2 linked regions of the Schizosaccharomyces pombe genome follow. The protein of the gene in region 1 interacts with the protein of each later gene in a pairwise test. Each region holds a gene or a part of one and is shown in the gene's direction. Other genes may lie near its edges. The genes, in order: rpn1301 and rpn2.

What was found.
Region 2: the proteins of rpn1301 (region 1) and rpn2 interact in a two-hybrid assay, tested with the Schizosaccharomyces pombe proteins (one large-scale study listed by BioGRID).

The regions. Positions count from the first base shown.
Region 1 is NC_003423.3:4,206,639-4,210,647, forward strand, and holds rpn1301 (proteasome regulatory subunit rpn1301), read left to right. Parts: upstream 1-1,624; 5' UTR 1,625-1,659; coding exon 1,660-1,739; intron 1,740-1,779; coding exon 1,780-1,861; intron 1,862-1,927; coding exon 1,928-2,641; 3' UTR 2,642-3,263; downstream 3,264-4,009. Other genes in the region: 1,3-beta-glucanosyltransferase Gas4, read left to right, coding at 1-979. UniProt on the Schizosaccharomyces pombe protein: Component of the 26S proteasome, a multiprotein complex involved in the ATP-dependent degradation of ubiquitinated proteins.
Region 2 is NC_003423.3:3,318,821-3,324,745, reverse strand, and holds rpn2 (proteasome regulatory subunit Rpn2), read left to right. Parts: upstream 1-1,833; 5' UTR 1,834-1,904; coding exon 1,905-1,950; intron 1,951-2,011; coding exon 2,012-4,863; 3' UTR 4,864-5,113; downstream 5,114-5,925. Other genes in the region: dca7 (WD repeat-containing protein), read right to left, coding at 1-85, 126-359, 475-717; DNA primase large subunit Spp2, read right to left, coding at 5,284-5,709, 5,753-5,925. UniProt on the Schizosaccharomyces pombe protein: Acts as a regulatory subunit of the 26S proteasome which is involved in the ATP-dependent degradation of ubiquitinated proteins.

The DNA.
Region 1 (4,009 bases):
TTATCTGCAACATTTATTTGCTACTATAGACGCATTCAAAGGATACGATAATGTACTAGGATTCTTCTCCGGCAACGAAGTAGTAAATGACGAAGACACTACCGCTATTACATGGGTTAAAGCGGTTACTAGAGATGTGAAGGCATACATTAAGAAACATAGTGATCGGCATATTCCAGTTGGTTATTCTGCTGCCGATGTAGCAGAAAACCGTTTACAGCTAGCTCATTATTTTAATTGTGGAGATGAGAGCGAACGAGCAGATTTTTATGCTTTCAATATGTATGAATGGTGTGGATACTCAAGTATGACTGTTTCAGGTTATTATGATCGCATCAAGGAATTTAGTAACTATTCAATTCCGCTATTCTTGTCAGAATTTGGTTGCAATACTGTTGAAATAAACGACGATACGACTCCTAACCGACCTTTTACGGAGATTGAAGCAATATATTCACACGATATGACCCCAGTTTTCTCTGGTGGTCTGGTCTACGAATATTCAGCCGAACCTAATCATTATGGATTAGTCGTTATTGACAAAGATGACGAGCGTAGAGTGTCGAGAAATTTTATAACGTTGATGAAGCAATATGCCAAAACTCCAAATCCAAAAGGGGATGGTGGTTATAAAAAGGCCGGATCGCCAAGTAAATGCCCTGCTAATTCTACTCAATTTAACGCATGGGAAAAATTACCTGAAATGCCGGAAGGTGCAAAAATTTACATGGAAAAAGGTGCTGGCGAACCTTTGGGAATTGAAGGTCCAACGAATATGTGGTCTCCTTTTCACGATGGTGACGATGATGAATCTACCTCTCGACGTCCCAAGCCAAAAAACAAACCATCTAATGTTACTAGTACAACTAGTTATACATCTGGCATGACTAGCTCCTCTGAAAGCGGTTCATCGAAAATTGGCGTTGCTTTTTGCCAAGCACTTTTTATTACTGTCCTTATCGCTACCCTCAGCTTCTAAAAAAAGAATTGTTGAAATTTAGAGCTTAGCTGAATGACTTGTTTCAGTAATTCAATTGAACTCTTCTAAAGCCGATTTGTTACAAGACAATGCTAACATTTCCAGTTACAATTTAGTATAATTAAATGAAATCATATTGTTTATCATTTACGGACGTTGAAAGGATTGCTAATGTAGTATTTGTCTGTTCAAGTAATTTTTGGTATTCCTAAAGAACCAACTTCATTATGATTCAGGGCTTAAAGGGTTATAGGAATTAACATATTTTTCCTTTAAATATCGTATTGACTAAGAATTCACCTAATATAAATAGCGAATTCAACGCTCAATTGCAATCGTAGGATCTGAAATATAACTACTTAATTGACAGCCAAAGATAATTCAGAATCTAAATATGCTGTATTTACGCTTTCTCACAAACGTAGTAAGGTATCATTTACATAACATTATTAAATATTTGATTATTTTATTTTATAAGTTATATTTATTTTTCCTCGAAGCTATCATACTACCCAAATTAAGCTATGTTTGTTTCAAGGATAGGATTTTTGCAGTGTAATCAAACGTTATTGTTAAACAACGCAACGAACTACAACGAAAGCTAGAGCTTCGTGGTTTCGACACAGTACATACAACCTGTCTTTTGCATTTCGCAGTTTAAGCAGTTTGCGATTGGGATAATGTCGTTGATAACTTTCAAAGCAGGAAAGCTTCGCAGAGTTCCAGGAACAAAGCTTTTACGTGCTGACCCAGAAAAAGGGTATGCTCGCATATTATGTATGATAGCTAACAAATCACAGTTATATAGTCATGAATCGGGACGCCTATGGATTAATTCATTTTCAATGGGCAAAAAGGAATGATCTTGAAAATCCCGAGGATGTAAGTATCACTTTCAATACCACCTGTAACACATTAAAAGTTCTAGTCGATACTAACCAAGTTTAGGATATAATTGTATTTTCTTCTGAGTGTACATTTGAAAAAGTTACGGAATGTACCACTGGGAGAGCTTACATGCTCAAATATCCTTCTAGCGCTCATAGCCTATTTTACTGGATGCAAGAAGCCTCAGACGATAACGATACTTCTTACGCTGAAAGAATTAACAGCTACATTAAGGATCAAGATTTATTAGATCCGGCCCGCTCTGATGTTGCAACGGTTTCTGATATGATGGAAGTGGATACTGTTGAGCAATCGGAACCTATTGCTCAACCAACTGAATCTTCAAAAGAGAGCTCCGAGATTGGAGCCCCGAACAGCGATGAAATTAATTCATCGGAAGCTGTGAGGAATCTATTGGCTACAATTTCTGCTCAGGCTGGATTTGGAGGTAGTACAGTCGATCTTTGCGAAATCCTCAAACCTTCGAATTTAACCGATCTTTTATGCCAAGAAGGTGTTATTGATCGACTCATGCCTTACATGCCTCCTGATACCCCAAATAATTTGGAGGGGGTTTTGGCTATTGTTAGTAGTCCTCAATATGCTCAAGCTTTGAGAAGCTTTTCTCAAGCTTTAAATTCTCCTGGTGGTGTAAACATTATTTCAGCACTTGGTCTCTCACTCGACGAATCTGCCAATCCTAATGAGGGAGGTGCTCTGCAATTTCTTAAAGCAATTGCTCGCTTCGTGAGCAGGAATAATGGTTCTGAGTAATGTCTTCGATTAAGTAATTCGTCGTATATCAAAAATTTCTATTTAAAATATTATCCGTTGAATCGTTTCTTTATAATTCACTGACGATTCGTATTAAAAGTTTTTAAATTGAGCATTACTGGCGTTCTTTTTTTTTTTTTTAAATAAATATGGAGGAATTAAAATGCTTTCATGGTAGGATTTGTCCTCTTACCAAAATGAGTAAGAGTAAGTTGGAGTACACAATACAATGTTGCTCGCTCAAAATGCTCTTTACAGAATGTTTATTGGTACAGTTTCATTTTTTCTCATATATGAAATATTTGTTTTAGGAAATAGGCAATCTTTATTTTTCTTGCATACAATGCTTATCTTTCCTAAACACTTAAGATTTATAAATGCAATGTATGTTCATGAATATGAACTGCGAGCGCCAAGGATGAATTACATTAGGACGACTAAAAATGAGAAGTTGCACTCCCGAAGTATCTCTACTTCATACTTCATTATTATTTATGCTTTATATTGATTATTGTTGTTTTACAAAATATGTTTTATTTCCAAAACAGTTGGTAAAATGTAGGATATGTAATGTCAAATACATAATACCAACATCTATTCTTAATAAGTTAGAAAGTTGAACAGTATTGAAATGATTTACTAAAGCTAGAAAGTAGCCAACTGTAAATGGTTAAAGTATTGACGTGTAGTCACATTCAATTTTTGCGCAATATCATTGAATTTCAAATCTAACGATTTTACTTTTGTAAACAGCCAAAAAAGTGGTCATAAAACGGTCAGGGAGGGACTCGAACCCTCGACCTCACGATTAACAGTCGTGCGCAATAACCAACTACGCTACCCGACCTCGGTGTCATCCGTTACATTTAGTAATATATATTGTTAAAAAAATAAAGCGTAGTAAATGTAATTGCTTTTTTGAGCTATGGCTTGTTACATTCTTTCTCTTGAGCAAATTTAGACTTGCTCATTACAATCATAATCGCTTTATAACGTCTATCTGCTTGTCTTCATTTGCATGAAAAAAAATCATATAAACAATGTATGCGGATAGTCAACTCAAACAAAATAGTAGTAATTAAATAGCAATAATAAAGAAGGAGCCTACAGCACCCCGGATTCCCATGTTGTCTCCAACCATAGTACTAACGAGGCCCTCAGACGCTTAACTGCAGTGATCGGACGGGAACTGGTGTTTTCGCCTAGGTATGGCCGTAGACAGCTGTTAAGTTTTAATAAAGTATATAAACGATAGTTATCACTCATTAGGAATTCGAATGTATGTTGGCTCCACTACGAATAAGATATGAATGTTAGCAATATAACCTGAAACTATATTTGACATTCTTTTTTTAGAAATATCATTAA
Region 2 (5,925 bases), 890 kb from region 1:
CAAGGCTACTCACTACGATATATGAAGGATCAGTTTTGCACCAATCAAACGAAGTTAGAGGAGCATTATTATGAGTTTTTACATGCTATAACATTAGTCGCCAAGAAGAAAAAAGAAAATCATACGGTAGATAAAGAGGCTTGACATAACAAAGGAGAATCAATCCCCGCTTCAAAATCGGTTTTCCATAATCGCAATTGCTGATCCGTAGAAGCTAGCAACTGGGAGTCGGTGTTAGAACCAACCGATGAAGGATTCCATAACAACTTCGTAACTGGGTATTCAAGATCAGTTGCTGCTTGCGCCTTTTCCAAGTGAGAATTTCCATCATCCCCAGTTATTAGTTTTAACAATTGTATCTAAACAATTTTTTGGTTAGTAACTTCGTAGAACAGAGTACATCTTTGGAGTCTATGCCAAAAGAAGCACAGATAAAATTATATAATATTTCCCCTGGTTTTGCAATTAGCATACCATATTATTTGGTTCTTCATTCAAACTTCCCATAGCAATCCATTCACTAGAATATTTTCCTTGTTTTAACCAATCCAAGGCAAATGGAATCCACGGTGCATTGTATCCAGTATATTCTTTTCCCGCTTCAAATTTGTTAGGCAGTTGTCTTTTGGGCGATCCGTAGAATTTGCCAAGTGAATCAAGTACTGATTTTCCAACGCCAGCAGATATTGAATACCTATTTCTACGTAAATCTGTCATTGTGCGCGAAGTGTGGATATTGGGATAAAGTAAGTAAGCGCCCCACTTATGATGTATATTCAATACAAAGCAAACAGCGAATACCGGCTGCAAAGCGAAAACGCAAAAATGAAGAATTGTTTTATTATATTTGTAATTTTTTTCCTATTCAATAATTTTTTAGTAAATTAAAAGAAGCGACTGCGTACAATTGCTTCACCCTTTTTTGTTGATTGACCTTTGATCCCGTACTCAGCGCTTCCGTTAAGGTATCATTACATATACATTAATATCATTGTATGCGTGAAACACAGAATTTTTTATATCTATTTAGAGTTAAGATAGTTATGTTTTAACAAAATACATTTCGGGTTACTTTAGCTTCTGTTTGCTTCCAGTTTGACGACATCGAAAAATGTCCATTCAATTAACATGCCAGCAATAAAAAACAGTGGTTTTAATAAAGCCAAAAACATTGTGGCATGGGAAGGCCTCGATATCATTTCTGGACGCATCCATGTGGCTTAGTTATTTCATTACTGATAGAATTGACTTCGAGAAAAATTATGAAATACATTAAATTTTCTTGATCAAACAGTTCATTTGCAAAGCTACTGAACCATGATAATTGTTATATTACATTGTATTTGTAAAGTAATATTGTACTAGGCATTGATACGTACTGCAAGTTAAACGAATGATCCCAGCGTAATATATACTATCAAAAAATACTAATGAAAGTATAACTGTGAAGTCAAACAACTATAATGCTTTAAAAAAAAAATTCGACAAAAATTAGCTACTTTGTTAAGCTAAAGACTATAAATTTATCGATACTAAAAGCGAATGATAAGAAGGCAATGAGAATCATATTATAGAACGATCAGAATAGCTTTACTTAGTTCGTTCATTTTGATACGATACTCATATAAATCCCTCATTGGGTTGAGATATCTTACATAGTTGATGAAACATACAATTTGACTTTTTTCGATAATACTGAATATTATTTAGGTGGTGTGGTGTGGATAACATGATATAGCATTACATTTAATATACCTGAAACATTTATTGGTACAAGTGCCCTACCCTTACCGAATGTGTTGGTGGAATGAAGCACAACGGTTCAGGGTATTTACCAACAACGAAACACCACCTGCTGTTATATAGTTTGTAAGATTTAAATAAACAGGTCTAGTTTCGTCGAAATGACTATGGTGTACTCTGATAACACCTCTATTATAACGTCAGCAGGTACGTCGAGCGTTAAACAATGAAAAAATGTAGAAATCATGTTCACTAATCCTTTTGATAGGTGGTTTGATGGCCCTGCTGGACGAGCAAGAGCGAGAATTACAAGTACATGCTTTACTAAAAATTTATGAGTTTATTGATCAATTATGGCCGGAAATATCGGATGATGTTACGAAAATTGAGGTTATGTATGAGGACCATTCATTTCCTGAACGCGAATTAGCAGCCTTGGTAGTCTCAAAAGTTTATTATTACCTTGGAGAATATGATGAGGCTCTTTTGTTTGCCTTGTCAAGTGGTCCAAAGTTTTTGCATGACAAAAATAGTGATTACAAAGAAACACTAATTTTCAAATGTATTGATATGTTTATTCATAAAAGTGCAGAGTTGTACAAAAATCCAAAGGCTGACCCCTTGGACGAGAGACTAAGTGGCGTAGTCGAGGGCATTTTTCAAAAATGTTATGCTAAAAACGAATGGAGACATGTTTTGGGAATTGCTATCGAGGCTCATCGACTTGACATTATTGAATACATTTTAAATGCAGACAAAGAGACAGATTTAAAGCCTTATGTACTGGAACTTGCAATGACTGTTGTTTTAGACATTGAATTCCGAAACCGCTTACTTCGTCTATTACTAAGTTCTTTTCTGACAGAAACAGAACCTGATTATTTCTCAGTTGGAAAATGCGTTGTTCATTTGAACGATGCCTCTGTTGCAGCCAAACTTTTAATGAAACTATCTTCTCAAAACGATGACAAAAGCTTATTGACAGCGTATCAATTAGCCTTTGATCTTGAAGATTCGGCTCCACAAGAGTTTTTAAATAGTGTGATGGATTTGCTTCCTTCTCCCTCTGTGGCCAATTCCGAAGAGGACGCTAACGCTGATTCGAAAAAGGAGGATTCTTCTCCTTGTGGTTATATTATTCGAATTTTGTCTGGTGAACAAACCGTTAAATATGACCGTGAATTTTTATATGCACATAACAATACGGATATGCTTATTCTGAACAGGACGAAAGATTCTTTAGAAGCCAGGAACTCGGTTTTTCATAATGCAGTTACGTTCGCCAATGCGTTCATGAACTTCGGTACTTCCTCGGATAGTTTCTTCCGCGACAACCTTTCCTGGTTATCCAAGGCCAACAACTGGTCAAAATTTACTGCAACAGCTGCATTGGGTGTCATCCATCGAGGATATTATAATCAAGCTATGAACATTCTTCGTCCTTATCTGCCGGAAGAAGATGCGCCATCAAGCTCTACTTATTCTGAAGGTGGTGCTTTCTATGCCATGGGGTTGATTCATGCTAATCATGGAAGAGGTGTTACTGAGTATCTGCGCGAACAACTGAAACATACCGAAGATGAGATTGTTCAGTATGGTCTCTTACTTGGAATTGGCCTAACGGGCATGGCTAGTAGGGACGAAACCCTTTATGAATCTGTTAAGACTATCCTTTTTAACGATAATGCCGTGGCTGGGTCTGCCGCTGGTATATCCATGGGTCTCATAATGCTTGGTACAGCTTCTTCTGCCGCCATTGATGAAATGTTGCAGTATGCACATGAGACGCAGCATGAGAAGATTATTCGAGGTTTGGGCATCGGTATTGCATTAATTGTTTATGGACGTCAGCAAGAAGCTGACGGTATAATTAAAGAACTGAATAATGATTTGGACCCTACTCTCCGTTATGCAGGCATGTTCGCTACCGCTTTGGCTTATTGTGGTACAAGCAATAGCAAAATAGTTAGAGACGTACTTCATATCTCAGTTAGTGATGTCAATGATGATGTTCGTCGTGCTGCAGTTTGTGCTTTAGGTTTTATCTGTTTCAAGGATCCTAACGCTCTGATTTCAACGGTTGAGCTGCTCGTTGATAGTTATAACCCTCATGTTAGATATGGTAGTGCAATCGCTTTAGGAATTGCCTGTGCAAACTCGGGGTCCAATGCTGCACTAGATTTATTGAGCCGCCTTGTTGAAGATGCAACGGATTTTGTTCGCCAAGGTGCCATGATTGCTCAAGCAATGATTCTCACTCAACACAACGATCAATTGAATAGTAAGGTTTCTGGAATTCGAAAACATTTTGAACAAGTCATCAACGAAAAACATGAAGACGCGCTTGCTAAATTGGGCGCAACATTGGCTCAAGGTATTATTGATGCCGGCGGTCGTAACGTTACTATTGCTCTTCAGACAGCTACTGGTAGTTTGAAATTGTCTGCAATTGTTGGATTAACTGTTTTTCTTCAATATTGGTACTGGTTTCCACTCACGCATTTTATGTCTCTTTCCTTCTCACCTACTGCGCTGATAGGTCTGGATAAAAACTTGAATGCACCCAAATTTTCTTTTATTTCAAATGTTCGTCCTAAACTGTTTGCCTATCCTCCAAAGTCCGTACAACCCACTGCTAAAACGGTCCAAAAAGTTGAAACTGCCGTGCTCTCTACTACAGTCAAAGCTCAAGCACGTGCCAAGCGTGCTGAACGTGAAAAAGCCAGTAAAGGTTCAAATGATGACGAAATGAAAATCGACAAAAAGACAACTGAAGAGAAAGAGGCCACTCCGATGGAAATGGATGAAGAAAAAAGTCAGGATATAAGCATCAACGGCAACTCTAAAAAAGAAGAACCTAAGTCTGAAACTTTAGAGAACTTCACGCGGGTTGTTCCTGCTCAGCTTCCATATATTTCATTTAACCTTAATGGCCGTTATTATCCGGTTCGCAAATTTACCGGTGGTGTTCTTATGCTTATCGATCGTGAGTCTGATAAAGCTCCAGATTTAATTGAACTGAATAGAGACGCTGTACCTGCTAGTGCAGATACAGAGCCTGGTGAACAGGAGGCCTCTCCTCCTGAAGATTTTGAATACCCATTTGATGATGATGATTAGATTCCCAGAAGTACATCCTGCTAGTCTCAAAAAACCATATACGTTTGTAAGAACATCTTGATTGTTACTTGCATCTCTTCAGATTAAATACAAACGTTTTCATATGTTAATAGACTTGTAGTTTGAAGTTAACGTATTTATTCTACGGAACTGAGTGTTCGGAAGATTGCTAGACAATTTCATTTTGATGATAAATTTAAAAAGTTTTCAATTACGTTTTTTAAATTAAATATCATGTTTTTTACGTTGATTTGGTATTATTGCCTTTTATTAGTAACAATGCTTATTCATCTATATAACCAGCCTGCCGGTAATTAGATTTTTGAATTATAGCTATGAAATGTATTTTGAAAGTGTTCAATACCTATTGTACAAAAATTGAAATGTGTTATGATAATCGTGAACTAAAAGTATCTTAGCTTATGATTCTAAACTAAGTTGAAAATATTGTAAGGGATGGTGAATGCTCTCCTCCAGCGAACCGACATTTGGATGAGTAAGCTCAAAAACACGCGTACACGCAATATGATAATGCCTCGCTTTAACTGCCTCAACAACTTCACGGCATCCGGCAGAATCCGGTGCTATTCCCATGGAAGCCAATGCTGACACTAGATTATTTACTGAATATGTACGATAAGGACAACCGTGGGCATCTCCAGGACCAAGTTGAGGCCCTGTAAGGATCTGCTGGCAATTATAACCCTTGTAATTTTTCCTATTTCCTTCAAGTCCATAAGTATGTCTAATATTGTAGCGATATTCTTTGTTAAATTTGTCTTCTGTTACATTTGTAAAACTTTTCCTCCAAAAGACCAAAGCTTCGTCGACAGAAAGGCCAATATCCTGAAAAATTAGTAAATTACTACATAAAAAATAAGTTTCATACTTTTAAAAATAGCCCATATTGAAGACGGCCAAAATGCCGTAGATGCTTATCACGCTTAAGTACTTCATGTAAATGTTTGGCGCATAATGGAAAATGTGAAACAAAACTGTCTACTTGTCCAGCAGTAATAGCACCAGATTTAGGAGCAACTATTGAACTCTCGGGAGCAACGA